4 linked regions of the Macaca mulatta genome follow. The protein of the gene in region 2 interacts with the protein of the main gene of each other region in a biochemical or structural test. Links are inferred from orthologs where the notes say so. Each region holds a gene or a part of one and is shown on either strand. Other genes may lie near its edges. The genes, in order: EGLN3, SIAH2, SNCA and DLST.

Region 1 (8,026 bases), on a different chromosome or scaffold from region 2:
GAAGCGTCCCATGCTTCCTCTTCCACTCAACTGAGACTCTTCGGTTTCCTCATCTGTAGGAAAATGAAGTTGAATTAGGTGACCACTAATATCCCTTCCAGTTCAAATTTAAAGGTAAGGAAACTCAACATTTTTCTTTCTCCTCTACTCCTCCACATGCTTGAAAATGACTGCATCTGTACTGCAGATGCACACTGGAAGACAATGTTGCTATAATTAAATTACAGGGAAATTAATTTGTTTTAGTTATTATGGAAAGGTATTTTAATATTCATTATTATGACACAAATTAGTGGACAAATAACTAAAGCAAATGCACTTTAACAATTAGCTTGGGTTTTCCCTCTCTGATGCTCAGATCCAGAGCCTGTGCCTGGCTCCAGCCTGTCTGTGTTCCTCCATGCAATCACACACTATGATTTTTGCCAGTCACAGTATCTCTGATTCCTCTGCCAAATGCAGTGCTGGCAGCCCTGAGCTGATCGGGAGGTCCTTGATTGATTAATGAGTGCCCTTGCCAAGCAGGGATGGTGCCAAGGGACTGAATTCCTCTCTAAACTGCCCATGCTTTACAACCAATGTAATCTAGAACGGTTGTCACTAGAACTCGCTTAGACTATTGCTCTAGTTATAACTAGTTACAATTTTACTTTGAAGTCTTGGGTCAACATGTTCATTCTGGAAGGTGGGTGTATAATTTTCTGTATTTTATTGACCACCACCCCTCTACCAGTGATTGTCGGCTTCCATTCCTTTGTAAATTCCCTCCTTCTCATTCCTAGGAATATAAGGTGTATCTACAAAAAACCTTCAGCTAGAAACATTTCAGCCAGTTACTAAGGATTATCTGTCACCTTCCCCCTTTTTGATTCTGTCCCTCTTCAGGGATATCTACTTCTGAGATTTACACAGTCCCCAAAGCTGCAAAACGCACAACCCAATGCCAACCAGGGTCTACATTCAGGCTGCCTTAGACCAGGTTTCTCCTGGTCACCCTGTTATCCAGAGTGCCCCTGGAGGAGATCACTGCAGGAGGCAAATCTGTTCCTTCTGTGCAGGGTTCAAGCAGAAGTGGAGAGGAGGGCTTGCCTCCTTTTTGGTACTGCACTCCATTTCACTCCTTGCTGCAATTTTTTTTTTTTTTTGAGGCCAATTTCACTTTTGTTGCCCAGGCTGGAGTGCAGTGCCATAATCTCAGCTCACTGCAAGCTCCACCTCCCGCGTTCAAGTGATTCTCCTGCCTCAGCCTCCTGAGTAGCTGGGAGTACAGATGCCTACCACCACTCGTGGCTAATTTTTGTATTTTTAGTAGAGGCGGGGTTTCACCATGTTGGCTAGGCTGGTCTCAGACTCCTGACCTCAGGCGATCTGCCCGCCTTGGCCTCCCAAAGTGCTGGGATTACAGGCGTGAGCCACTGCGCCTGGCCTCTTGCTGCAATTTAACAGTCCTCCAGCTTTCACTTGACGTCTCTGGCTCCCACCACTCAAATGTCCACTGCTCAGACAGACAAAGCCGAGAGACAAATGCCCTGTAGAACTCCTAACTGCTCCCTCCACTGGCCTCTGTTTTGTGCTGGGTCAGGCTAATTTGCCTGACTCTTTTCCAGTGACTTCTCTTTGGGGAGGCTCCCAGCCCCTTTTGCAAATAGATCCTTCCAGATAAGCCCAGACATACTGAATCCCAAGTGGAGGCTGCTATGGCTCAGGGTTAGACATTGAGTTCCCAGTAACTATTTATTAGCCATCCACTATGTGCTAAACACTGGGGTTCCAAGGATGATGGTCTCCTCTCATCATGGAGCTGCCTTGGGAATTTAGACAAGAGCTCTTTGAGCAGTGATGGCCTATTCAAGCCTTTACCCCAAGGAGGGGTACCTCCTGCTCAAAGGTAATACCAAAGGTGCCAACTAATCACTGACTTGGCAGAGAACCTCTCTCAATATAACTAGACGTTTCATCAAAGTTTCTCAAGCACTCCACCATTGACTGCTCCCCCTCAACATCCCCCAGGTTATTACTCAACCACGTGCCTCTGTCTCCTTCTTTCCAACTTGTAGCAGTACCTTTCCTCTTCTACTCTTTGTTCTTGTCCTGGATGTCATTCCCTTTCTCCCCTCAGAGGCAGAGAGGAGAGGGCTGCTGGAGGAAGAAGAAAAGTGAAAAAGCTGTAGAAATTTGTTTCCACAATAAACAATATCTGAAAAGCCTGTACATTCTTTTCTTCAACTTAAATAAAGAACCTGAGTGTACACTAATATGAAGTAAAAAAGGTGCAAATAGGCCGGGCACAGTGGCTCACGCCTGTAATCCCAGCACTTTGGGAGGCCGAGTGGGCGGATCACCTGAAGTCAGGAGTTCCAGACCACCCTGACCAATATGGAGAAACCTCATCTCTACTAAAAATACAAAATTAGCCGGGCCTGGTGGTGCATGCCTGTAATCCCAGCTACTTGGGAGGCTGAGGCAGGAGAATCGCTTGAACCTGGGAGGCAGAGGCTGTGGTGAGCAGAGATCACACCACTGCACTCCAGCCTGGGCAACAAGAGCAAAACTCTGTCTCAGAATAAATAAATAAATTAATTAAAGGTCCTTTTTTTTTTCTTTTTTTCTTTTCTTTTTTTTTTTTTTTTAAAGGTGCAAATAGCTTTGCATGCAATTTATGAATTTTTCTTTTCTTTTTTTTCCTGATTCTGATCGCTGGTGTTCAGTAGGAAAGGGAATCAAAACTCCATAAAGCAAATTGACTTATCTGTAGATAACCAAAGTCTTTTCAGTGGTGTCTGTCCCTCTTGTGAAAGTACAGCTGCTTGTGGGAAAAGTAAGAGACCTAGAATACAGTGTACCTTTTGGGGGACATACTTCTGTTACAGAAGCATGTGATTAATTTTGAAGGTAGAATTTCGGAACATCATATTTTAATAGGAAGCTTGAAAGATAAGTAGAGGAAAACATCAAGCAAAGCAAAATACACCATTTGCAGAGTTCAATCAGATATGACTCAGCATTTCTTCATTGTGCTCATCCCCAGCTCCTCAAGCACATAGTGCCTTGCACACAGTAGGGGCTGAGGGAAATATTTGTTAGTGCATTAATTGTAGTTAAAACTAGATACCTCCTAATCTCTCAGTGGCTTGAACTGGGTCAAACAGCAGAGGAATGGGGTAAATAAGGAAAGACACCAGGTAAAGGTAGAACAAGACCACTGCTTAATAAATATATTTGTTTTTGGGGTTATTATTTTGCTCAAAAGTCTATGAGATGACCAGCCCAGAATGTGGCAGTTAATTCCATTTACATTTTCAGTGTGGGATCCAGGTTTTCAAGTTTATTATGTGATTTTATGCAAAACAATATGCAAATCCAGCGCATTCTAAAAATTCAGTCTGTTCTCCAGCCGCTCCCCTGGTCACAAACAACTAAGGTTGGCGCCGGTCTCTTTGGGATCCTTCGTGGAGGGGCAGAGCAGGCGGGGGTGACGGGCCGAGGGGCGGGGGAAGGGGCGGTCTGGGAGGCGGTCCCGGGGCGGGGCCCGTGACGCGCGGACTCGGCCGGCTTAAGGGCCGGACCTCAGCGTCTCCCGGCGTCTGGCCGCAGTCGCGGCAGTGGTGGCTTCCTATCTCCAAAAGGCGCCCTCCGACTCCTGGCGCCGCGCTGCTCGCCGGGCCAGTCCGGAAACAGGTCGTGGAGCCCCGCACCACTCCCGCTGGTTCCCGAACGCGGATCCCTTCTTCTGAGAGTTGCGAGCAACTTTCCCTTGTCCCCGGGGCTGCAGCGGCTCGGGGACCGTGGCAGCCGCAGGTTTCTGAACCCTGGGCCACTCTCCCCGTGCCTCGGCTTCGCGCTCGTGTAGATCGTTCCCTGTCTGGTTGCACGCTGGGGATCCCGGACCTCGATTCTGCGGGCGAGATGCCCCTGGGACACATCATGAGGCTGGACCTGGAGAAAATTGCCCTGGAGTACATCGTGCCCTGTCTGCACGAGGTGGGCTTCTGCTACCTGGACAACTTCCTGGGCGAGGTGGTGGGCGACTGCGTCCTGGAGCGCGTCAAGCAGCTGCACTGCACCGGGGCCCTGCGGGACGGCCAGCTGGCGGGGCCGCGCGCCGGCGTCTCCAAGCGACACCTGCGGGGAGACCAGATCACGTGGATCGGGGGCAACGAGGAGGGCTGCGAGGCCATCAGCTTCCTCTTGTCCCTCATCGACAGGCTGGTCCTTTACTGCGGGAGCCGGCTGGGCAACTACTACGTCAAGGAGAGGTCTAAGGTAGGACGCGCTCGGCGCCCTGCCGCAGCTGCCCCCGCGGGGACGGGAGGCACTCGGAGTCCGTTGTCTGTCGCCTTCCCAGGGCTGCAAGCGAACTTTGTTTTTTAACCAAGAAGTCAGCCTGGTTTGTCTCTACTTGCTGCTTCACCCCACCCCTCGCCCCAGCTCCTCTGAGCGAAAGTCCACGCTAAGGGGCTCAGGTGAATCATGATGATGACCTTCTGTTGACTTTGAAATATTGGCTCTTGTGGGTGACAAAAGCCAGACAAGCTGTGGCTTTGGTCCGCTTTTAAGACAAGAGGTTCTCAAAGATCCAAAGGAGGGAAAGGGTATTAGAAACACTGTGTATCATCTGAGACACACGTGTCCTTATAATCTTAAATACCTACTTTAAGGCCACCTAATACTGCCCTTCATTGTGGTCAGAAGAGATTTCTACAAAAGCACTCAGAATTCTGGAGGCAGTTGTGATTTTGCCATGTGGCAGTTGGTTTGTGGAGTTGGGCAGGTGTGAAAGGGTAAAACTCTACTCCAGAATGCTGCTTCTGCCCTCTGGGACCCAGCACATTGTTAGACCATCTTCTTGACCGAAAATTCTCTCCTGGTGCTTAGCCCTACACCACCACCTTCCTTTTCCTAACTATCAATTGACAACAAAGTCCACTCAAAACAACCAGTTAAGTGCTCACGAGAGAGTAGTCAAGCACCTCCGGAAAGAAACAGTGTTTTTGTTCACATAGCAGGAAGTGACTCCCTGGGTGGTAATTTATCTTGGAAACACAGGTAGATTGGCAGGAAAACAGGAACATGTAGGTACCGCGATGTTGGTGCATGTACATTACTTTGGGATAGGCTTTCTCAGTCTTTCCTCAAATGATAGTTGAGCCAGTTCTCCAGTGGCAATTCTGAGTGACTTGCGCTTGTCTTACGGTGTGGTCAAGGGACATTCAGAACTATGGAAAACTTTTACTGAAACAGCGAAGCAGAGTATACCATGGCATGAGAGGTACCACTCTCTGACACCTATGTACCACTCTTTGACAATAAATAAAGTATTTCTCAAATCAGTCTCAAGACTGATCCTGTCTCAAAACAGACCATTGTTCTCTCCTTTCTCTAGTACACGGAGAGGAACACTCTGAATAAAGGCTAAGTGATGAGAATTGGAAACGTGTGGGAGTGAAGGGGTGGAGATGGATGAGTGCAGTGGGGAGTCATAGTTTGTTGTACAACTTCCAAGCCAAGAGGCCATGAATAGAGTATCTGAAAGCATCGTTATTAGCGCACCCAAGTAAAGTAAATCTTAGAAGATCCTGCTTTCTAAATTTTACTTTGGGGAAAAAAATTATGTTAGCGGAACTCTGTAGAAGATTGATGTTAAAGTGTTTCTTCACTCTTCTTCCATTGTGTTGGTGGTGGACTAGTCATTTGTCTTTGACTAGTTTGGTTTTTGCATTAAATGACCTTGCTGTCTTCTGTGGTGGGGGTTGGGGGGGAGGGGAAGGGTCAGCTTCAGTGTTGCTGAGGTGCTGGTAGTTTTACCTGAAGAGCAGAGGGCTTCTTATCGGGTTTTTGAATGTCTCTTGTAAACTCAGGTGTTAGGAATTTTTCTTCACCATTCTAGGAGCTGAATTTGCTCTGAGGGACGTCAGAATTAATTGGTATAGAAAGAGGCCACTGACATTGAAAGTTAAATATTTTTATTTAGCTTTGACTTAATGGATAGGGATAGGAGTTCAGACTAGAATTTAACTCAAGTGGAATGAAAAACACTGTGTAAGGGTAAGGGAAAGATCTTGTAGATATGATTCATCAATTTTAGGTTATCTTTTGGGTGGAATGAAAAACTTTTCAGGTGACCCTGTCAGAAGGTGATCATGAGTTGAAAAGAAAATTTATCCTGTCCCACCCCCAGATTTCTAGGTTTACTTTGGCTGGTTTGTCACAAAACTCCCTGCCCTTTAGATAAATCACCTTTCGATTGGAATATTCCCTGGCCACTTTAGAACCAAATGCAAACCAGGCTTGAGCAAACAATTAGTGTAGCTAAATGTTTTTTAAGTGTGCTTTGCTTGTATACAGAAGTCTCCTTAGTGATGTCTTGTGGTCTTGGGTTTCTTGTTTGAAGTTCATTATTAAAGTCATCATAGAAACACTTTCCGTTTCTACATGATTTATTTTGGTTTCACCTTAATTTATTCCTTCTTTTTCTTCACTCACTTTTTATCCCTCAACTGAGCTCCTTATTTTGTGCTGCTTTCCAGAGCAGTGACAGAGACCCAGTTTACTGGTGCATCCTTCACACATGTTTTCAAGAAAAACTAAAGTTTTAAATTTATTTATTATTATTATTTTTTGAGACAGAGTCTTGCTCTGTCCCAAGGATGTTGTGCAGTGGTGTGATCTCGGCTCACCGCAACCTCCGCCTCCTGGGTTCAAGCGATTCTCCTGCCTCAGCCTCCCGCATAGCTGCGACTACAGGAAGGCCACCACACCCAGCTAGTTTTTGTATTTTTAGTAGAGATGGGGTTTCACCATGTTGGTCAGGCTGGTCTCGATCTCTTGACCTCATGATCTGCCCGCCTCAGCCTCCCAAAGTTCTGGGATTACAGGTGTGAGGCACTGTGCTTGGTCCTTAACTTTATTTTTAACTTTTAATTAAGGTTATTTTCAAACACACATAAATATAAGAGGCTAATAAGCCCCCATCACCCAATTTCAACAATTGCCAATATGTACATTTATTTTAGAACAATTGTTTTTTAGCTACTTAAAATTTCTTGAGGTTTTGCTTATTCATACACTTACCTAAATTTGGGTTTTTTTTTTTTTTTGGTTCTTTGCTGGACTTTGAAAGGTCATTGGATAATATAATATTGTCCTTTATCTCAATGAAGCAATAGCAAAGGCATTGGGAGTAAAACAGAAAGACGCACTGGACCTAAAATTGAAATTGTGGAAGAATATAGAAAGAAATATTAGATGGTTCCGCTTCCTGCCAAGAAAGTGGTTAATGGTCAGAATTTATGTACCTCGTCTTTGCTGGAGAAAATTCCAAGGGTGTTGAAGACCCCTTGGGAAGTGGTTGCTGTAATGTACAGCAGTATGGCGCCCCCTAACTTCACGCATGATCATTGCTTTCAGGCTAGCAATGGATTTATCTGCTACTCCCTTTTGGAGATTTTAGACCATATCCAAGATAAATATTGGTCATATTTTGCTCCTTTTTCTTTGGCTGCCTAGATCTTGAAAAATGGCTGTTTTCCAGAGAATGTATAATTTTTAGAACCAAAAGTCCTTCTGCTTCAAACAGTTCACTGTAGACTCACTAGTTAGTGACACTAATAATAAGAACTACCTTTTATTGAGCAGTTTGTATTGTCTGGCACTGTGCTAAGCACTTTACAGATGCTATCTTGCTTAATCTTCAGAAACACAGTCTTAAACACATTGAGTGATTAAATACGTTGCCCAAAGTTTCAAAGTCAGTGGTAAGAAACAGTTTAAGTGGGGGCTACCAGCTTAGGCTCAGTGTTACTAACCTTGTGGCTTTAGGCAAGTTGCTTGGTTTACACCAGGTGTAAAATGAGGGGAAATAATGCCTTAAAGCTGCTGGGGGAAGAAGCATTCAATAAGATGATGTATATGAAATTTTTAGCAGCATTCTGAGCCTTCATCAGTGTTTTAAGTCTCCAGAGGGGAAATTTGGGATCCTAACCTAGATTTGTCTAAATCCAGAGGCTGTGTTCTTTCCTTTTATTCT
Region 2 (7,825 bases):
TGGACCCTGCTCCCCCAGACCACAAAGTCACTCACTAAACAGGCCCAGAAGCAGCAGCGACGCTCCCAAGGGTAAATAAACCTCGCAACAACTCAATTCAGCATACATTTTGAGTACACGCTAAACGCGACCTCTGAGCTCACTGCCCTCTGGAAGAGGAGGCTCTAGCTCACAGTGCCTGCTGTGCAAAGGTCACCTTTCTTTGTTTCAAAAGTCGCCAAGAAAGGAGGAAGAAGAAAGGCGACTGGGAAGACCAGCCTGGTCACTTATGTGGCTCACATAGCAGACCTATCCACTCTCCCCCTGCCTACCTTCAGCAACTGCCCAGAGTTTTTGGTTTCAGTTTTGTTTTTTAATTACCCTGGTTGACTTAATCAGGTGTGCAATGATGTGAAGAAGGAAGAAAAGAAGAAATTTCTCTATACTAGGGGAGGCATCTGCCAGGGTAAGAGTGGATAGGTTCGTTGTATTTTTAGAAAAATAAACCAAATTCTCTCTGCAGAGAATTGCTTTTCCTGTTCTTTGTTTCAACACCTCCCAAACCAAATTGCTTTCTGAATGACCAGGTCCTATCTAGCTGGAATACTTAAAGCTCATGTCAACCGGGCAAGCGTGAGGACTCCAGTCTCCTAATGAGAGCTAGTAAGAAGCCATGGGAATGGGGATCATCACACCAAGAGGCTGGAAGTGGAAGGAAAGAAAATGCATTCCAGTAATAAATTCCAAATGCTTTGATTTTAAACTAAGAATGAAAAATATTACATTTTCTCCAATAACAGTAAAACTGTAGGTGATTTTTGTGTCATCACTTATGTTTTGTGTCATAAAAAGGTGAAAATGAAATAAATAGAATATGATTTAATTTTTCTCTCTAGACCAGCTAAGGAAAGAGTTTATGTAAAGTTTGCCCACAAAATTCAGTGCTTTATTATAGGCTGAACAACTGTCTTCTGACTCTGTTGAGTGTGCTAATCTTAACTCTTTAACCAGACTATAAGTAGGAGTCAGGCATAATTTAGAGGCATACAGACTAGTAGTTAAGAAGAAGGGCTCCGAGCATGTTCCCACATTCTCAGCTATGTGATCTTGAGCAAAGTAACCTATGTCTCGGTTTCTTCAACTGTAAAATGGAGATAAAAGTAGTATTCATCATATAGAGTTATGATAAATACTTAAAACTGTTCATGCCCAACATACGGTGGGCACTCAATAAACATTAATTATATTATGCTCCCCACCTATCCAAAAACTCAGGTTCAGCCATGTTACTAAAGAGCTTTCAAAAACCTACAAAAGCTAGTGTTGTTACTTGTGTGTTCTTAAAAAACCAAACAAAACCCTACAGTGGTTTACCCCATCATTGAGGTAAATGTCTTATTAAGCCAGTTGAGGCTCTGCTTGTGCTAACCCCACACCCCTACGCTCCCGTTATATCCCCTCCAAGTCCCAATGCAATCCCAGAATTCATTCCTTCACTCTGTGCTTTTTAGCTCCTGCTATAATGCCTTCCCACCCCTGTGGTATCTGAAATCCTTCCCCTCCCATGAGTGTTTGATTATTGGGCCTTGCTCTCTTACTAGAATGTAAACTGTATGAGAACCATTCTCAGAGCTCCAATAGTAGCTGATACGTGATAAATGCTCAGGAAACATTTACCGAACGATTGAATATCTACAACTATTACGTTTTTTCAAGATTTATACCAAATTCCATCAATTCCATGCATGCAGTCATTCTATAGAAGCCCTTTGTAAGATTAAACTTTATTTCTTCTGGGCTCTAACGCCGTATTTCTTGGACAAATTGTATTCATTCATATTAAACATCCACTAATATTTTAAAAAGATAACAGCTAATGTTTAAATAGTGCTTATGATGAGCGAGGTTGTTTCAAAAGTTTGAAACATATTAAACTCATTTACTCCTCACTGCCCCACCTATAAGATAGGTATTGTTTTTATTCCACTTTTACAGTTGGAGGGAACCATTTTTCACTCAGTCTTAATAGTTGGTCCTTACCTCTGTGGCTCCTACAAATACCGATTTCCACCTAGGGTAACCCTTTCCCCAATTCTGGAATCGTTGGCTTAAGCAAAGTTTGCAGAAAAACAATTTAACTCGGAGCACACAGTTACATTTGGACATGCGGTTCACTCCGGGCTACGGTGCCCTCTCTAGCGCTTCTGCTGGGCGCGCAGGGTGGCCTACAGCTCGCAACAAAGACTCGGACTTCGGCCGGCTCTTTACCAAGCGGACTCAGCGCCCTACACTGGAGGCTCACCTACTGTCTTCAGAGACCTCACGACCCAACCCACGTTTCTGGCATTCCTAGATGATCTCGAACTCTTAGCCAACGCTGTCCATGAGCTCCCTCCTCGGCTATACAAGCCAGGGGCGCTTAATTCAACGAAGCTTCCTCCTGGTCCGCTGGGAAAGGAATAAAGGGGGCTTACCTCCTCCCCACCGCCCCCCTTCTTTACTCAACCCCACCGTTAACTGTACAAAACTAGGTCCTGTGCCCCCTGCAGACCCAACTCGGCCCCTCGCCCTGCTCCCACCCAATGCTTCCCGTCCTGACTCGGAACACAGAACTCGGTTGGCCGCGTCGCCCTCCTCGCCTGCACGCTGGTGACTCAACCCTGAGAAGACAAACCTCTCGGTTTTTTCCGACCAGTGCAGGGGCGCCGGCGCCCCGCCCCTGCCCGCCAGCGTACTGTCCCACCCACCGTCCACGCCCCCGCCCAGCCTGAAGTTGCCCTTCTCGTTTGAGCTGAGGGACGCGTCGGCCAGGCACCCCGGGGTGTGGCCAGAGGACTTCGGCGACGCCTTCCCCGAGAGTGGCCTCCCTCGCCAACCCGGAAAAGACAACCCCGCGGGGCTGCGGCGAGCCAGGCATGCTCACTGGCGCAGGCCCGGCCCGCAGCCCGAGCAGGAAGCGCCGGCGCTAGGCGGCCCCCTGCGCTGCCAGCTGGAGCCGGGCGGAGCCAGCGCCCCGGCGCAGGGTGGCTCTGCCAGTCCCCGCGCGCCTGGGCGGCCGCACACGTGTCCAGGCGTCACGTCCGCGCGCGCCCCCGGGGCTTGCGTCAGCGGCCGCTCCAGAAGCGGGTGGGCCGGGGCTCCTTGCGCACCGCTGGGTTCGGGGCCCGGACGCCGCTGGGAGGAGGGCATCGCGCGGGGTCCGACGCGGAGGCGTGCTCGGAACGCCGGGGGCTGGGGAGTGCATCAGCGCGGTCCAGCCCTCCGCCTGCCGGAGGCCGAGAGTCTCTGCCGCCCAGACCTGGGCTGGGCGCCGTGGCGTTGCCTCGGAGCTCGCTGCCCGCGGGGCGCGCACCGCCTTGACCCGGGCGGCCCCGCGGCAGGCAGGCGCCCGCAGTTCCATGGTTGGTTCGGAGCGCGATGAGCCGCCCGTCCTCCACCGGCCCCAGCGCTAATAAACCCTGCAGCAAGCAGCCGCCGCCGCAGCCCCAGCACACTCCGTCCCCGGCTGCGCCCCCGGCCGCCGCCACCATCTCGGCTGCGGGCCCCGGCTCGTCCGCGGTGCCCGCCGCGGCGGCGGTGATCTCGGGCCCCGGCGGCGGCGGCGGGGCCGGCCCGGTGTCCCCGCAGCACCACGAGCTGACCTCGCTCTTCGAGTGTCCGGTCTGCTTTGACTATGTCCTGCCTCCTATCCTGCAGTGCCAGGCCGGGCACCTGGTGTGTAACCAATGCCGCCAGAAGTTGAGCTGCTGCCCGACGTGCAGGGGCGCCCTGACGCCCAGCATCAGGAACCTGGCTATGGAGAAGGTGGCCTCGGCAGTCCTGTTTCCCTGTAAGGTAAGGTCAGGGACAGCCCGCGTATCTCCGCCGGTGACCTCAGGGACTCCGGTATCCTCCAGCCCACTGGCAGGCCCGGAAAGGCGGGCGGCATCTCTCATTTAAAAAAAAAAAAAAAAGAAAAAATGTTTACATTTCGTCTACCCTCCCTCAAACCCACTTTGGGAGTAGTTCTGGGTTGACATTTACCGAGTTAATTGACAGTTAATTGACAGTTAACAGATTAATTGGCATTCGCTGGTCGTCAGAACATCGTAGCTCACCCGGCCCAATGCCCGCGTCCTCTGCAGACATGTATTCGGGTACGCTCGATAGGGCTGGGCCGCACCAGTAAAACTTGGACCGAGAAACTGACTATGTGGGGACTGAGGAGGGAAGAAACGGGCGAGCTAAACGCACCCTTGTCCAGCGCTCGGCTTGGCTGAATTGATACTGGAGTCCTGCACCCCGCGCCTACAGTCTGCGCACCCCTGACACGTGGGAGCTCTCGGGAGTGTAGCTAAAAAAAGGGCGCCTACAGCCTGTTTTCTTCTAGCTAGAAGAAAACCCTGCAAGCCACGCCTTTTTCTCTCCTAGCCTTCCAAGGACTGGGAAGGACTGAGGAGTTGTGGCTGCGTTTTTGTACTATGTGGGGTGAAAACAGTCAATCAAGAAATTAACAAGGGCACTCAAGAGCTGTTGTTACAGTTGTTTAAAGCTCATCAGTTCATTTTTTATTTAATGTAAAAAGTTTTCAATGCCCTTGCGAAAAATGCAAGCCAAGACAATAAGTAAAATGAAAGACCAAGACCTCTCCCCTCCTTTCCCACCATTGTTAGGTTTAGTGTGTATCTTTTTAAACTATATATACATACACCCTCGCAGCTAAATATAGAATCATAGATGTCAGTGTATGTCAGGGAGGTTTTTTAATACCCACACATAGATGTAAGTTTTTCTCCAAAAATGGCATCTGCAGCTTGCTGTTTTTAAATTCATATTATCATACATATTTCTCTATGCCTGAAACCTAGTCGACTTCACTGTATTTTAAATGACTGTATAGTATTGCATTGTGTGGTCATATTGTAACATTTGTTTACCTTCAGGAGCAGTTTCACAGACATACTTGTCTACATTACTTCATTATGACCTAGAACTATACTGTAAAGTTCATTTTCTGAAATTAGAAGTAGAAATATTGTCATTAATACTTTCCAGTTTTTTTGTAAAAGTAACTTGCTCTGCCTCTTGGGCCCTTTAGGCTTTCTTGTATTTCTCCTTGGTGCTGCTTATTTTATAGGACAAGAGCTCATTTTTAAATTAAAAATAATCCACCAGAGAATTCAGGCGTGGGACTCAGGTCAGTAAAATGAGTGCTTTAATTTGGTCTGCTGCCCTGCTGCAAATGAGGTTTAAAATAGCATATTTAAATAAGAGTTTGAATCAGTGTTTGGACTAGGGTGTTTCAGGCAACCTTAATAAATTGCTTTTAACCCCTCCTCATATAATGCTTACTAATTCACTCAGCCCAGTTTCTCAAAATTTAGATGAAGTATTTGCATAGTTGTCTTAGGGTTGTGAAAAAGGAGACAAAGGTTTGGTGGTAGTTAACATAGAGTGGCTATTTGATGTTTGAGATATATTGCAGGGGTGGGGGATGCCCCACAGGATTTCTGGGGAGCCATTTTCTCACCCCTTTACTTTCCCTTAAACCCGCAGTGGCTAACAAAAGAAATGGCTTTTAGGTGAGTTTTAGTTCACAAATGAGCATTTGATATTAGTCAGTAATCCATAATTTGTTTTTAAAATGTAACCTTAGAATTGTGTTGTTCCCAAGAGAAAGGGAAGGAAACAGTTATGCTATATGGAGCATGAAGTTTCACTTTCAGGATCTAGAACTCTGGTTCCTATGAAAGCATATGTTCTTTCCTAACGTGAAACAGGCTAGTGAAATCAACCTTGAAGAGTAGTTCTGGGAATCGGGGGTTCTCAGCCTTTCTGTACATGTCAGTGATTTTCTGAGTCTCTATTCCATAAGAATGCAGTTGGGCAAAGCCATTACTTTGCAAGCTGAAATTTAAAAGGGCCAACTATTCCCCTAAAGACCAGGAACCAAGCTTAGAATGTGATCTTGGGGATGCTTTTGTGTGTGCATGTGTGTGAGTTACATAAAGCCGGAGTGTGCATGCCTCACCTTTGGTTGATCAATAATCCAAACTTTTGGCAGGGCAGCTCAGCCAGTTAGTCTGGACGAACCAAACTTGAATGTATACATAGGCCCAGCGACCAACCAAGATGTGCTGTAGAGGATGAGAAACAACAGGGAGTAGTCGTAAGGCCTGTATCAAACTTAAAACAAGGTAGGTCTGTTTACCTAGCCCTTCGGCCTACAGTTGGAGGCTCCTAGAAATTATGGCACTGCCTTTTCACTGTGCCCACCTGCTCTCAGAATCTCTCATGGGCTGGCTCATGTGAAAAAAACCAACATTGAATAAAGTAACAGAGTCCACATCTCAAGAGGTGCCTGGCATTGTCATTGTTTGCCTGAAAGACCACCTCCCAGGGCCTTGATTTCCTCATCTATATATATGAGAGATGAGTCCGCTGGACTTCTGAGGACCTGTAGCTTCTAGCATTCCATGAAAAGAAGGGAAGCTATCTGGAATGTTATTGGATGCTCTCTATCTGCCAGCTACTTCACAGGGGTCAGCTTTTACTAGTTTGCCTTTTTTTTTTTTCCAGATGAGGAAACTCATGCCTACAGAGTGGTTAAATGTGAAGTGACTTGTCAAATCACACAGCTAGTAAGAGGACCAGTCCAAGCACCTGCATCTCAAAGGCACAGATGTTTTGTCCTACACCTTACTGCTTAGGGATTTCGAATCTGAGTATATACTCAAGATTCTGAATCATAACTCAAGGTTGACACCAGTAACAAAACCATCTGGTTGGATGAGTTCACCAGATGGGCCTCTTATGGGACCATCCCAAAATGACAACATACATACTCACTATGAAATTCATTGGCAGGAATTTTGTAGGCCATGTAGGGTAGGAAGATGGGGGGTAGGGGAAACCTACAAACCTAGTATTTTGTGGGATATCATCACAGCTCTGGACTGCTTCAGTTGGCCAAAAAATGGATGTATTGCCAAATAACTATCCTACTTAGGTGTAGGGTAATTAATTAAAGGCTAGAGTGTTGCCAGCACCTTTGATATGGGGAGCCAGGTGCATTATTAGCTCAGATCTTTGGGTGTGGTGGCTCATGCCTGTAATCCCAGCACTTTGGGAGGCAGAGGTGAGCAGATCACCTGAGGTCAGGAGTTCGAGACCAGCCTGGACAACATAGTGAAACCCTGTCTCTACTAAAAAAACAAAAATTAGGGCCAGGCTCAGTGGCTCACACCTGTAATCCCAGCACTTTGGGAGGCTGAGGCGGGCAGATCACCTGAGGTCAGGAGTTTGAGACCAGCCTGACCAACATGAAGAAACCCGGTTTCTACTAAAAGTACAAAAAAGTTAGCTGGGCATGGTGGCGCATGCCTGTAATGTCAGTTACTCAGGAGGCTGAGGCAGGAGAATCACTTGAACCCGGGAGGCAGAGGTTGCAGTAAGCCGAGATCACGCCATTGCACTCCAGCCTGGGCAACAAGAGTGAAACTCGGTCTCATTTAAAAAAATAAAATAAAAATTAGCTGAGCGTGGTGGCAGGCACCTGTAATCCCGGCTACTTGAGAGGCTGAGGCAGGAGAATTGCTTGAACCCGGGAGGTGGAGGTTGCAGTGAGCTGAGATTGTGCCACTGCATTCCAGCCTGGGTGACAGAGCAAGACTCCATCTCAAAAAAAAAAAAAAAAAAAATGGAATGTCTAATTGTGTATGGCTTTCTTCCACTTGGGGTCTTTTTTAATCCATTCTGTGGCTTTTTCCATGCCTGAGAACTTTTGACATCCTGTGCCCAGACTTAAACTCACCCCTTCAGTGTGTGGGTTAGGGGGAGAAGTGAAGGTTGACACATTCATGTGAAC
Region 3 (7,320 bases), on a different chromosome or scaffold from region 2:
TATAATTCAAGATAACTCATTTGTCCTTTAACTAGTCTTATACTCAGAAATTATTAATAAGGGCAGCTATATTCATATGATCAAATTCACAAAACAGGTATCTTCTTTGATTTACTCTTGATTTATTGGTTGTTCAGAATTACGTAATTTAATTTCCCCATATTTGTGAAGGGAGAGGAAAATTTCCCCCTCATCAACTAGAGGGTGATGGGCCAAATACCCTCAAAGGGCATGAAAGGTTAAAACCGGTGCCATTACTCCCTTTCAGTGTTCCTGATCTTAAAGTACGGCCATTAATCCACTTCTACAAGCTAGACATCTGGTATCCCTAATTGTCACATCCCTCTTCCTCCAAGTTTCTGGCACAGTGTGAGTAAACATTCTTTCTTGAATGATGAATGAGTGTCTCAATGTGGTCATTAATAAGCATTTCAAGCAAAAAGATTTTGCTTATTTCTAGTTGCCAGGGTCATTTTGATCAGAGTTTAAAAAATGAAATAAATTATTTCAAATATCATAATGAACAAATTAAATACTTTCATTGAAACTATCCAGATTTTTTAGCATCCCATAGATGTGGCCACAATTGCAGACGTTTATTAGAGTACTCTCTGAATTATTTTAGAAACTCAGAACTTTATTGCTAAATTAGACTTCAACAATTTTCTAGTAGAGCTTCCTCATTATATGAGAAAGACTTTTAGGAGATCTGCAAAAGGTTATCCAGTCAGGTGGTGTACGAGCAGAGATGAAGACTAGCCATTTTCACTCTCAGTCCAATGTTTATTTCCACAACTATGCTGCAATTTCTAGGTTTTATGACTTCATTTTCATATTAGAAATCAATAAGATACTCTAGTACCTATAAGGGAAATATCTCCAAATGATTAATTTTGTCACATCATTTAGATTTCTGCTTTAAATATTAAAATAAATAGCAGTATTTTTAGATGGGTGGAAAGCAAACCCAGTTTTGTAAAAGATTAAGCACTTTCATGCTTCATTTGCAATTTATATTGTATGCGTTAAATGCAGGTGAATAAAGAAAGGATGGTACATGTTTCCCTGTTGCTTAATATTCTGAAGCAATAAAATTCTCTAGTTAAATCTAGTTGTCCATAACTGAATGTATAAAGACCCAAAGGAAGGTAAGTTTTGAGGAAATGCTTGGGGAAGTGATATAGTGGCTGGAAAAGTACTATTGGTGTCCAGTCTATTCCAAATGACTGTACAATCTTGGACTACCCACATCCTCTGTTGATTTCAGTTTCCTCATCTGTACAATCAGAAGATTGATCTGAACAGAGGGTCTGTCAGTGGACTTCCCATTAAGCCCTTTGATGTGTGTATGTGAGGACACATTTTTCTGAAGCTAAGAGGGTCCATAGCTTCTATTAGATTGTGAAAAGGGTCTGAGACACAAAACTGGTTAATTGCCTGTGTACTATTTTAATCTGAGGTCCCTCTTAACTTATGAAATCTTACAAAGCTATAAATAGAATTATAATTTTAGGTGGAAACCAGGAATTAATATAATTATTATCCCTAATAAGATTATTTGAAAAGCATATTTTGTACAAAGGGGTATCACCATGACCAACCATGCATTCAAGCATTAGCTGAAGAACTTCACTAGAAGCCCAGTCAGGATTTGCCATAATTACATCCATTGCACCAGACACTAGACATGTAACTTCATGTAGTAAATCTAAATATATCACAGATATTTTTGTTCTGCCTTTTTATTATCAGTGTTTTAATGGGCTATCAAGGTAAGGCTGCTACTTAGGATTACATGAAGTGGAAACAACCCAGAATAGTTTGCCAGCAAATAAAACTTCTTTCTCACAATTTTGGAGAGATTCATCCAAAATCATTTTGATTTTAACTTTTGGATAGCTGAATAGCACTGTTCTTATACTAAGGATATGATTATAAAAGACCCATAAATAAAAGTTGTTCTGCTTACTCACTTATTTCCTTCCTTTCTTCCCTTCTTAATAAACATATGCTAATTGTCTACTCTAAGTTGGAAACTCTCCCAGACACTTGTGAAATATCAGTGAACAAAATAAATATATTTCACTCTCATGGTGCCTACATAATAGAAGGGAGAAATAAAATTTAAAAAATACATTAAAGTAAGCAAATTATTTATTATATTTAAAGGTGAAGAACACTTTGGCAAAGAAAGAAAGAAAAACAAAGGAAGGAAGGAAGGAAGGAAGGAAGGAAGGAAGGAAGGAAGGAAGGAAAGAAGGAAGGAAGGGAAAGAGAAAGAGGAAGGAAGGAAGGAAGGAAGGAAGAAAGAAAGAAAGAAAGAAAGAAAGAAAGAAAGAAAGAAAGAAAGGAAGAAAGAAAGAGAAAGAAAGGAAGGAAGGAAAAGAGAGAGGAAGGAAGGAAGGAAGGAAAAAAGAAAGAAAGAAAAAGGAAGGAAGAAGGAAGGAAGGAAGGAAGGTAGGAAGGAAGGAGAAAGAAAGAGTAGGGAGACTGAGAATACCAGAGGTGAGAAGAATGGCTCCAATTTTATATAGATTAAGGCAGGCCTCCCCAGTAATGTGTCAGGGCAAGGGTATGCTTGATTTATTCAAGAAATAGCAAGGAGACAGGGAAAAAGCAAAAATCATTTTGCTGTTGTAGTGGTGACATTTGTAAAATTTCATCATTGTTGACACCTCATACCGTATTAGTTTCATATTTAAAATGAAAGTTATAGTATCTTTGGTATAATCTTATTTGTGCCCCATGTTTGTCAAAAAAATTCAGTCAAAATTCTTCTCAGAATTTTAAAATCTACCTCAAAACTATGATCTCTGGTTGGTATATATTTTAAACCTCTTAGTTCCCACAAACATGTATTTGGCAATGAACTGTTATGTAATATGCAAATATGCCATTTAATAAGAGATGATGTCACTATAAAGAAATCAAGTAAAAGAATTTTATTTTGGAAATTAAGAAATTAGGCACAAAGAGATTTGTTATTCCAAGGAAGAGAAATTCCAAGACTTATAGTTAACATGAAAGTCTTCATTCTTTTTGAAATGTCACTGTTCCTTTGACATTTTACTACATTTTTTATTTCATTAACTTTCTTCTAGAAATTGAAACAATCATGATAATTATAAAATTTGCATGGCATTTATCTGGGTTAATGCCTGAAACAAGCAAGACCAATATAAAGGTAGCACATTTTCACAAGGGGAGGGTCAGGTAGCTGTTCCTCACAGTAAGTGTCCTGCTCCTGCCTCCAGGCCTCACATGAAAATGAACCATAATCTCACCAGCTTATAAATGTAGCACAAAGTGTACACACCGTACCTTGCCCAACTGGTCCTTTTTGATGAAGCCAGTGGCTGCTGCAATGCTCCCTGCTCCCTCCACTGTCTTCTGGGCTACTGCTGTCACACCCGTCACCACCGCTCCTCCAACATTTGTCACTTGCTCTTTGGTCTTCTCAGCCACTGGTACAAATCAAGAGCAACAACAGATTAAAGGGTGGTGGAATAACAGTGACTTAAAATCATTCCACTTCCACTAGCCATCGACTTCCATACACCTGTATCTACACATGCCATAGACAACTGAGGGGTCAGAAGAAACAAGCAACCAAGGTGTCCAAGTGAGTGTGGCTCAACCAAACATTGAATCTCGGCTAAGATATTTTTGTTAAAGTCATGCAGTATTAAAAAGTGCTTCAAGTTTAATGATCCAGAATGTAAAGCCATGAGTGATTTGGATTTATTTTATACTAAGGAAAGCAATTCTTACAGGTGCAGTTATAGTTGAACCAGACTCAACATGAGTATTTCTTTATTTCAATTCAGTGCCAATCCTTTGAGCTCACTCAGCAAGTTCATTTCCACCACACATTCTAAACAACACAATACATACTTGTATTTATTTATTTATTTATTCATTCATTCATTCATTCATTCATTCATTCATTCATTTGAGATAGAGTTTCACTCTTGTTGCCCAGGCTGGAGTGCAATGGCACAATCTCAGCTCACTGCAATCCCCACCTCCTGAGTTCAAGCTATTCTCCTGCCGCAGTCTCCTGAGTAGCTGGGATTACAGGTGCCCATAACCATGCCTGGCTAATTTTTTTTGTATTTTTAGTAGAAACAGGGTTTCACCATGTTGGCCAGGCTGGTCTCGAACTCCTAACCTCAGGTGGTTCACCTGCCTCGGCCTCCCAAAGTGCTGGGACTACAGGCATGACCCACCGCACCCAGCCCATACTTCTTATCTGTGTGTTCAGACACGGTATTATCACATATGTATGAATGACAGCATAAGAAATGGTTTTGAAGGAACTTGGAACTTTTTATAGAACTTCAGGTAGTGAAACATAGGGTTCTTAAAAGCTAACTTGCAGTAATTTTAATAGGAGCAAAGGAGCTGGACAGTATGAAAATGAAGAGGCTATTGAGCACCCTTAAAATTCGTTTTCACAAAACAAAATGTGATACGGTCATTCAGTAGGTTTATTACAATAAGTTAACATTTTTGAGAAGACAGTGTAAATAGTTTGAATTGAGTTTATAGGCAGAAATTTAATTTCATGTCAAAAATTTTCTTGTTCAGTGAAATAAGCCAGAAACAGAAAGGCAAACACAACATAATCTCACTCATGTGGAATCTAAAGAAAAAAAAAAAGTTGGTATCATAGAAGCAGAGAGGAGAACAGTGGAGGAGAGTGGAGGATGGGGACACTCATCTAAGGAAATGAAGGCACATTTTCTTGATATGATTTATACTCCCCAGATAAGCCTCAGTCTGAGAGGAGTTACACCCTGTCAGCTCTTTCGTGCTAGTCACATGATTATTGTATAGGTTTCATCTCACCAGTTGAAGAAGCCAATAGTTAAATGGTGTGGACAAAGCAATTCATTTTCAAATAGACTATGTAAGTCACAGAAGCTAAGGGGCCTGTAAGGACAAGAGGCTTTCTCCTTAGTTCAGGCAATGTGGGGAAGCCTGACATAGCCACACAGCCCAAGACCAGAAAGGGTCCACAGTATTGTTGCTCCCTACTTGTCTTTTAGGCTAGAATTTTGTACAACTACCTACCAACTCTGTGCCATTTCTAAGGATATGGCTGATGTCTCCTTAAGAGTAAGAGCTATTTACAATTCAAAGTTCGATTTAAATGCCAGTGAAAAGCTGTATTGAAAATTTTATGTTTTAAAACATTTCTGAAATGTTGATCCTTTAAAAATAGTCAATTATGTGTTTCAAGTTGTCATTTTTTTCGTTTTCAAGGACGAGAATTGAAAATTTTGCTTCAAATGAACATTTTCTTGTTATAAAATCTTGAAGCAAGATTAAAAATAGGTTTTGAATTTTTTACAGATCCAGCCATAAATTTTATAATATCTAGATAACCTTTTATAGATGTATAAATTTTAATCTAGTTTTAATGCAATACACTGCACAGTAAAATGTACTCTGCACATTATTATAATTTCACTCTTTTATTATTATAATAATAAATAAAATGGTTACATGACAAAATAACAGAGTATACAGGTAGCAATCATCGACACATTTAAAAACATTTCTGTAGAACTGGTTTCTCTAGTAGGGTCTCTGCTGACCTTGAACCTCTATTTTTCCCCCGAGGGCCTTCCACACTATTTCTCTACTCACTGACATTCCAAACGAACGGTGACAAAACAAAAGGAAAAGAGACATACTCATATTAGTACATTTTGAGTCTAGCAAATGGTATCTGTTTTTCAGCAACTGAGTTTTTTGAAATCAGGGATTCTACTTTATTTTTCTTTATATTATTTTATAGTAGATAAATAATTTAGAATATACTAAAATGAATTTAGTATCTCTCTCTAATATCTGCATTAATATAAGTAATAGGTTTATATTTGACTTTAACTAAGTTAAAAATAAAAATCCAAAAAGGAAATGTGATACGAACTTTTAGAATAGATATAGCAAAATCTAATCTTTGACATTAAACAAAATTATAAAATTAAGAATATCTAGTTTTGAATTGTTATACAAATGATAGATTTAAAGAAAATAAATTTAAAACAATTTACTAAGGAAATTTAGATCATAACATGTTGAAAATTAGTTTTGTTCATTATGATGTAATAAATTTACAAGAATCAAAACCTTCAGAAAATCTCCAGTGTCAGAAATTTCTTTATACTACACTTGCATGAAAAATAAGTAACTTTATATCATAGTTTATTTTTAAAGTACCTTAAAAACATATCATTCAGTAAGTTTAATTAAATACATTTTCATATATGATGCATTAAGTTGATAACTGAAATAATTTCCCGAGATCAAAGAGCTAGGATTTAAGTTGGTGGATTTTTCATTGATATTATCTAACTAGGATAATTTGTTTTCCTTGAACTTTGTAGGTAGAAAGCTCCCAGCCCAAGTTTACTGAAGTCTATATTTCTCCCCCGCCCCCTTGAAAAGAAATCTAATGGGATGAATTTGGGGGAAATTGTTTATTTAATATTAGAAGTTAATATTAGGTACTATGTAATAGTTTCTTGTTTCCCTGCATTAAGACTTGTAACAAGAACAATTAACAATTAGTTAGCACTTAATATGTACCCATAGCAAACATTTTACATCAGGTAAAATATGCAAATTATTCTCTCTTTAACCACTGAAGTAATTGTCTTATTTCTTCTCATAATTAGACTTAAGAACTTTATATTAAATAACCCTATTCAAAAAATTAATTCATTTATCTGATGTGGGAGAGGAATGATTATGATAGCAGCTGATTTATCCCAATGTGTTTCTCATAGCCATACTAGTTATGACAGCATTTTTGGTACTTCACTACTGCCAGGGTGGTTCATGGGTGTAATGGTTGTAAATATTGCCCATGCTGAAATCACCATGTCGTTACTGCTTAGCAACATTTCCCATAGTTTTCTGTAGAACACTAGTTTCATTCAACCCTAATAACTAATGGAGAAAGGTTTCAATAATCAAAAAGTTTGAATAACCTTGATTTTAACTATGTAATGCAAATTTCTTTACTGTAGGACATCTCAGATTCCTTAATATACCAAAGAGAAAATAAAATATGCAGAATCTCCCAACATTGTACAATGTTGGAAACTTAGGATTGTGGGCCACTGTCCTTTAGAAAACATTTTATAAAATGTTGTTTAATTGTACAAACTTCAGTCTCTCTCTCTCTCTCATACACACACACAGAGAGAGAGAGAGAGAGAGAGAGAGAGAGATGTGTTTACATTTTGGCATTCTGGAGAAGACTGAAAAAATGCAGTCCATCTCCAGTCTCCATTAGATCATTAG
Region 4 (7,320 bases), on a different chromosome or scaffold from region 2:
AATTTTTAACTAGCTCTAACCTCAGTTGTAAAATTATTGGATTTGTTCAATTTAAAAAAAAACTTTTTACATTTAACTTCCTTTTTTTTTTTTTTTTTTTTTTGAGACGGAGTCGTGCTCTGTCGCCCAGGCTGGAGTGCAGTGGCCGGATCTCAGCTCACTGCAAGCTCTGCCTCCCGAGTCTATGCCATTCTCCTGCCTCAGCCTCCTGAGTAGCTGGGACTACAGGCGCCCGCCACCTTGCCCGGCTAGTTTTTTTTTGTATTTTTTTGGTAGAGACGGGGTTTCACCGTGTTAGCCAGGCTGGTCTCGATCTCCTGACCTCGTGATCCGCCCGTCTCGGCCTCCCAAAGTGCTGGGATTACAGGCTTGAGCCACCGCGCCCGGCCAACTTCCTTTTTTTTTTTTTTTTCTGAGACGGAGTCTTGCTCTGTTGCCCAGACTGGAGTGCAGTGGCCTGATTTCAGCTCACTGCAACCTCCACCTCCCGGGTTCAAGCGATTCTCCTGCCTCAGCCTCCCTAGTAGCTGGGATTATAGGCGCATGCCACCACACCTGGCTAATTTTTGTACTTCTTATAGAGACAGGGTTTCGCCAGGCTGGTCTCAAACTCCTGACCTCAGGTGATCTGCCTGCCTCTGCCTCCCAAAGTGTTGGGATTACAGGCGTGAGCCACCGCACCTGACCTGCATTTAACTTTAAATTGTTTGCTGTGTGTGTACTATGTACTTCATTTAGTAGCTTTAGTCTTGTAGTGTGTGGTGATGGGGTGAGGAGGGTAAGTAAGCTGTTTCCAGTTTTTCCTGTATCACTTGGAAACCTATTAACTGAATATTGCCTGAATGTTTCTGAGAAAGGACAGAAAGGGTGAATCTTCACAATAGCGTTGACTTGTCATCACCTTTGCTCTGAAATTGTGGCCTTAGGTGTTTGTGTGCAGGGCCTTATATATTGTGTTACCACTCTTGTGACTCATTGGAGGTTTTTGTTGTTGTTGTTGTTTTGAGACGGCGTTTCGCTCTGTCACCCAGGCTGGAGTATAATGGTGCGATACTGGCTTCACCTGCCAGGTTCAAACGATTTTCCTGCCTCAGCCTCCCAAGTAGCTGGGATTACATTTTTGTAGTTTTTAGTAGAGATAGGGTTTCACCATGTTGGCCAGGCTGGTCTTGAACTCCTGACCTCAAGTGATCCACCTGCCTTGGCCTCCCAGTGTACTGGGACTACAGGCATGAACCACCGTGCCCGGCTTCGTTGGATATTCTATACAGCTAATTTTCTAATGCTGGATAAACATTTGGACTTCCTCCATCTGTCTTCCTCTTCCAGACATCTGTGCAGGTTCCATCACCAGCAAATGGCGTGATTGAAGCTCTTTTGGTACCTGATGGGGGAAAAGTCGAAGGAGGCACTCCGCTTTTCACACTCAGGAAAACTGGTGGTAAAGAAGTTCTCCTGGTGCTCAAGGTCTCCAGTGTTCCCTCTTGGGATTGGGACTGAGCATAATGTGCTAATTCCCTGATATGTCAAAGACTCTGTCATTCCAGCTGCCCTTAGTTGAGGGAATAAGGGGTAAATTTATATATAGTGTGAACTTTAAATGTCAAATTCTAGAAGAAAAGTTTATTTTTAAAAAAATAAACCTCATACTCTGTTCTTTCCATGGGTGTTTCTTAGCAGGAGCTGAGAAACTGAACCTTTTCTTATAGATACACAGATTGAGCATACCTAATCTGAAAACTCAAAATCTGAAATGCTCCAAAACTGAAAATCCAAAATCTGAAATGCTCCAAAACTGAAAATCCAAAATCTGAAATGCTCCACAACTGAAAATCCAAAATCTAAAATGCTCCACAACTGAAAATCCAAAATCTAAAATGCTCCACAACTGAAAATCCAAAATCTGAAATGCTTCAGAACTTTCTGAGCACTGACGTAATGCTCAAAGGAAATGCTCGTTGTCTATTATGGGGAATTCAGTGTTGTTTCTTATCACATCTATTCTCTCATATCTCTAGGAAGGGTTGGTATTTCTTTTGGGAAGAAATGAGAAACAATTTGTACTAGACCTGATAGGATTAGAGATTAATAACTGTTTATCTGACTCTTAGTGAAATTTTATAACCACTAAAATGTCTATTTCTTTTTCCTAAGCGAGAATCATACTCGTAGACCAACGAGTCACAAATGTCTATTTCTTTTTCATTGTTACACTAATAATGCAGATCGACCACATGATTGAGGTTAATCAGGCAAGACCAGAAGCTCAGAGTAGAAAACATGTATGGTAGAAGGCTAGGAAATAAGGGTAGTCCTCCTGTTGCAGAAGTTTGTCTTAGCACTAACCCTGGATGTAATATCCAGATGGGTGAAAAATAGAAACAAACATTTCATTTAAAGTTGTGAGATTATTACTTGGCCACCTCAGTGATTTATGAGTCATCCTGGATGAAGCGCTTTTTTAAGCCTAAGTCAGCCCTCGATGAATTTTTTTTTTTTAATTTTTTTTTTTTTTTTTTTTTGAGATGGAGTCTTGCTCTGTTGCCCAGGCAGGAGTGCAGTGGCCTGATCTTGACTCACTGCAACATCTGCCTCCAGAGTTCAAGTGATCCTCTTGCCTCAGCCTGTTGAGTAGCTGGGACTACAGGTGCGTGCCACCATGCACAGCTAATTTTTGTATTAGTAGGGACGGGGTTTCACCATGTTGGCCAGGATGGTTTTGATCTGTTGACCTCGTGATCCGCCTGCCTTGGCCTCCCAAAGTGCTGGGATTACAGACGTGAGCAACTGCACCCAGCCTATTTTTTAGTAGTATTCTTGCATATATAATGTTAGAATAGAGGATGGAGAGTATCAGTAATTAGAAATACGTTTATGTATGCATTTCAATATTTTAAATTGCCTAGACTTTTTTTTTTCTCTTGGAAGTTTACATTTTCTTGGGCTTGGTAGGTGCTTTGAAAGTACTTGCTGAATTTATTCAGTAGAAACCTGTGAAATCGAGGAGGGAGCTAAATTGAGCCAGTTATCTGATGGACATTCAGGGACCCTGAGGAATAGAGAATAGTGCCTTATGTCATTGTGTGTGTGTCTCATAGTGCCTTGCATATTGCCAATACCCAGTAGACATTTGTTACTTGATTGGAGCTAGAGTTTTTGCCACTAAATTTGGCTTAGTAGCTGTGATTTGGTTGCTTTCCATTTCAGATAGTGCCAGTGGCATCTACTTTTCTTGTTTTTCAGCTGCTCCTGCTAAGGCCAAACCGGCCGAAGCTCCTGCTGCTGCAGCCCCAAAGGCAGAACCTACAGCAGTGCCAGTTCCTCCCCCTGCAGCACCCATACCCACTCAGATGCCACCAGTGCCCTCACCCTCACAACCTTCTTCTAGCAAACCTGGTAGGCTTCCAACTCCCACGTGTCATGTGGGGGAACATCTCGTCTAATATGTTGCCTCAGGGTAAACTCTAAGACTAATCATGGTTCTGAACAGGCCAGGTTGACTGCCTTGTAGAAAGAATTCTCGACTTTGTATCTGAAGTTCTGTTTTGCATCTCAGCTTTCTGTTACTAGCTGTGTGTCTTTAGGCTAGTCACTTAATTTATCTGAACGGATTATTCATCTGTGAAGTTGGAGTGATACTAATACACCTCAGAATATCTTGAAGGTTAAGTAACAGGACATATGAAAGCACTGGCACAAACTCAGTAGATGTTTCTTTCTTTGTCTGATGCCACTTTATCCTCTCTTCATTTTCAGTGTCTGCAGTGAAACCCACTGCTGCCCCACCACTAGCTGAGCCAGGAGCTGGCAAAGGTCTGCGTTCAGAACATCGGGTAAGCCTCTGCGGACCACTTCCAGGAAAGAGGCAGGGGGCAGTGTTGAGATTAGTGGAGTATGGGTGTGGTGGTGCCTACCTTTGAATGGCTGGCAGCTCATTCCCTCAACCTTGACAAAGGGAGTTTAGAATATAACTTCTTCATAGTCACATCACCATCAAATGATAGAACTAGAACCCGAGGTCTTCTGAACACTTGTTCAGTGGCTTTCCTGCTATATTATGCTCAGTGAAAGCCTTGGGTAAGTTAAATATTTGTAGGGGATGGTAGCTTAGTAACTCACCCCCTTCCTCCCACGATGTCACACACTTCAGAGAGGTGGTTTAGTGAGCTCTATTCCTATACTTCCGGGATACTTAGCTGTAGCTAAGGGATAATACTCAGTAGCAATAGCTGTCAGGTGCAGACATAAAACCTCAAGGAAGTATGGTCAAGAGTGTGGTTCTTCTGCCTGAGAATACTTCCTAAAAATATGATAGCCTCAAAAGTTTGTTGCTTATGAGGTTCCGTTCCACAAATAGCTATTGTCATGCAAGTCTTTAGCAATAGAAAGTGCCCTTTTTCTTATGATTCTTATGTTGGCTAGACTACACTACACTACATTCTTTCATAAATTGGTTTTGGTTTTTAAATCACCGTTTCTGAGCCTTCATTCTTGGTCAAGCTTCAGGCACATCTGAGTGAGTAGTTTTGGCCTGTGTTTGCATGTTTTTGCTTGGAGGAGAAAGGGCCACTACAGGAAAGGGAAGCCTGGAGCTCTTGTTTTACTTAGGTACTATAGCCCTTGGCCATCCACTCGTGGCAGGCCATGTTCTTTCTGACTACACGGGGAATGCTTGACCCAGAGAGATCAGATTATCAATGCTTGTTCCACTCTCGCTTTCAGGAGAAAATGAACAGGATGCGGCAGCGCATTGCTCAGCGTCTGAAGGAGGCCCAGAATACATGTGCAATGCTGACAACTTTTAATGAGATTGACATGAGGTAGTGTTTCTAGCCCCTGTTATCCCCTAGGCCCTTTTTTCTTAGAGAACACTCGAACTTGCCCCTGTCCTTATCTCCTTATCTAGTGCTGATTCTAAAACTTAACTTGTCAGGGAAGAGGTATTTCTTTGCTTTGTTTATTGTTTTTTTTGTTGTTGTTTTGTTTTTTGAGACGGAGTCTCACTGTCTCCCAGGCTAGAGTGCAGTGGGGCGATCTCGTCTCACTGCAAGCTCCACCTCCCAGGTTCACGCCATTGTCTGGGTTCACGCCATTGTCCTGCCTCAGCCTCCTGAGTAGCTGGGACTACAGGCGCCTGCCACCACGCTCGGCTAATTTTTTGTATTTTTTTAGTAGAGATGGGGTTTCACCATGTTAGCCAGGATGGTCTCGATCTCCTAACCTCGTGATCCATCCGCCTCAGCCTCCCAAAGTGCTGGGATTACTGTCGTGAGCCACTGCGCCCGGCCTGTTTATTGTTAACTTTCACAGAGCGACCCACTGGCTTCTTCTCTAATTGGCTTTCCTGATACTATGCCTGCCTTCTCCATGACCTTAACCTTAGCCTTGGCTAGGTGTAGTGGTTCACACCTATAATCCTGGCACTTTGGGAGGCCGAGGCAGGCAGATTGCTTGAGTCCAGGAGTTCAAGACCAGCTGGGTAACAAGGTGAAACCCCACCTCGACAAAAAATACAAAAATTAGCCAAGTGTGGTGGTGCACACCTGTAGCCCCAGCTACTTGGGGGGCTGAGATGGGAGGATCGTTTGAGCCCAGGAGGTTGAGGGTACAGTGAGCTGAGATCATGTCACTGCACCCCAGCCTGGGTGACAGACTGAGACACCCTGTCTCAAGAAAAACCCAACAACTTAGCATTTTAGACTTTTAAACCTGAATCTTGCGATTTCTGATAAATGAGAGTAGTCATAGTTGTACACTCTGACTAGTGTCAGGTTGCCAAACAGAGATGGGACAACCAGGCCAACGTGGTTTATGCAAAGGTCTCCCACTCGGGATGGAGAAGCCGTGACAGCATGCCGAGAGCCTGGGCACCACATCCTACTTCTTTTACACAGGGGTTGCTCCTTACATGTTTTCCTAAGTGATTCAGAATCGGGTAGATGAAAAGGCAAAGATAGGCTAGGCTTGTCTTTCATTTTACCCAGCTTTGATAGTAAAATGGAAAACAAGTTGTGTTTTTAACTAACCTTAGAATGTTAACCAAAGGTACTAATTCACTGGGTATGCCCATTTCTGTAGTGAGCTAATTGTTGACTCACCTGTTTTCTTCAAGATTTTGATGTGTTCAGGTATCAGCACTGTCAGGAAGAGAAATTTGACAAACATGTTTTGAGTGTGTACTGTGTACAGAGTACTGTACTGTGGAATTCAGTGGGGTTATAGACTGGGCGCCATGGCTCGTGCCTGTAATCCCAGAGCTTTGGGAGGACAAGGAAGGAGGATCGCTTGAGCTTAGGAGTTGGAAACCACCCTGGGCAACATAGCGAGACTGTCTCTACATAAAATTTAAAAATTAGCCAAGTGAGGGCTGGGTGCAGTGGCTCGCACTTGTAATCCCAACACTTTGGGAGGCTGAGGTGGTTGGATCACATGAGGCCAGGCCAGGAGTTCGAGACCAGCCTGGCCAACATGGTGAAACTCTGCCTCTAGTAAAAATACAGAAATTACCCAGGCATGGTGGCGCGTGCCTATAATCCCAGCTAATGGGAAGGCTGAGGCACGAGAATTGCTTGAACCCAGGAGGAGGTTGCAGTGGCAGAGATTGTGCCACTGCACTCCAGCCTGGGCAACAGAATGAGACTCTATCTCAAAAAAAATAAAATAAAATCAGGTACGGTGGTGTGGACCTATAGTCTCAGCTACTTGGGAGGCTCAAGTGATCCTCCTGCCTCAGCCTCCCAAATGACTGGGACCACTGGGAACACAGGCATGTGCCACCAGGCTTGGCCAATTTTTTTAGTTTTTGTAGAGACAAGGTCTTGCTGTGTTGCCCAGGCTGGTCTCCTGAACTTCTAGGGTCAGGCCATCCTCCTGCCTTGGTCTCCCACTGGAATTATAGGCATGAACCACCAGGCCTGGCCAGAAAAGAATTTTTAAACAGGTCTTCAAGAATGGCTAGCATTTTGTCAGCCTTGTGGAGAAAGGTCATTCCAGACGATGTTAACAGTGTAGACCATGAGATGGGAAAGTAGAAGACACATTTGAGAAATTGTCAAAAATCATTTCTGTTGTGAGGATTATGTATAGCAAAGAATGGTAAAGAAGGTTGGATCCTTACTTGAGAATGTTTTGAATGCCAGGGTAGGAGTTTATATTTAAGTCAGGAAGCAAATCAAGTCTCAGGTCATCTCTTTGTTTCTTTTTGTCCTGAGGGTTTAGTCTGCATATCTACTTTTCATTAGAGAAATTTGCTTTTCTTTGGGAAGGCTTTGAAAATAGGGAGAAGGGAAGCTTTCTTGGTAGTGTGCTGTGGTATTGTTT

What was found.
Region 1: the proteins of SIAH2 (region 2) and EGLN3 form a complex in vitro, tested with the Homo sapiens proteins (2 studies listed by BioGRID). The link is inferred for Macaca mulatta from reciprocal best matches to the Homo sapiens genes SIAH2 and EGLN3.
Region 3: of the proteins of SIAH2 (region 2) and SNCA, one has a biochemical effect on the other in vitro, tested with the Homo sapiens proteins (4 studies listed by BioGRID). The link is inferred for Macaca mulatta from reciprocal best matches to the Homo sapiens genes SIAH2 and SNCA.
Region 4: the proteins of SIAH2 (region 2) and DLST form a complex in vitro, tested with the Homo sapiens proteins (2 studies listed by BioGRID, with this or other methods). The link is inferred for Macaca mulatta from reciprocal best matches to the Homo sapiens genes SIAH2 and DLST.

Annotation. Positions count from the first base shown.
Region 1 is NC_133412.1:107,059,296-107,067,321, reverse strand, and holds the start of EGLN3 (prolyl hydroxylase EGLN3), read left to right. Parts: upstream 1-3,575; 5' UTR 3,576-3,906; coding exon 3,907-4,263; intron 4,264-8,026. UniProt on the Homo sapiens protein: Prolyl hydroxylase that mediates hydroxylation of proline residues in target proteins, such as PKM, TELO2, ATF4 and HIF1A. Target proteins are preferentially recognized via a LXXLAP motif.
Region 2 is NC_133407.1:53,796,355-53,804,179, reverse strand, and holds the start of SIAH2 (E3 ubiquitin-protein ligase SIAH2), read left to right. Parts: upstream 1-2,768; 5' UTR 2,769-3,396; coding exon 3,397-3,813; intron 3,814-7,825. UniProt on the Homo sapiens protein: E3 ubiquitin-protein ligase that mediates ubiquitination and subsequent proteasomal degradation of target proteins.
Region 3 is NC_133410.1:99,138,271-99,145,590, forward strand, and holds part of SNCA (alpha-synuclein), read right to left. Parts: intron 3,465-7,320; coding exon 3,322-3,464; intron 1-3,321. UniProt on the Homo sapiens protein: Neuronal protein that plays several roles in synaptic activity such as regulation of synaptic vesicle trafficking and subsequent neurotransmitter release.
Region 4 is NC_133412.1:148,087,178-148,094,497, forward strand, and holds part of DLST (dihydrolipoyllysine-residue succinyltransferase component of 2-oxoglutarate dehydrogenase complex, mitochondrial), read left to right. Parts: intron 1-1,329; coding exon 1,330-1,441; intron 1,442-3,243; coding exon 3,244-3,396; intron 3,397-3,756; coding exon 3,757-3,833; intron 3,834-4,722; coding exon 4,723-4,820; intron 4,821-7,320. UniProt on the Homo sapiens protein: Dihydrolipoamide succinyltransferase (E2) component of the 2-oxoglutarate dehydrogenase complex. The 2-oxoglutarate dehydrogenase complex catalyzes the overall conversion of 2-oxoglutarate to succinyl-CoA and CO(2).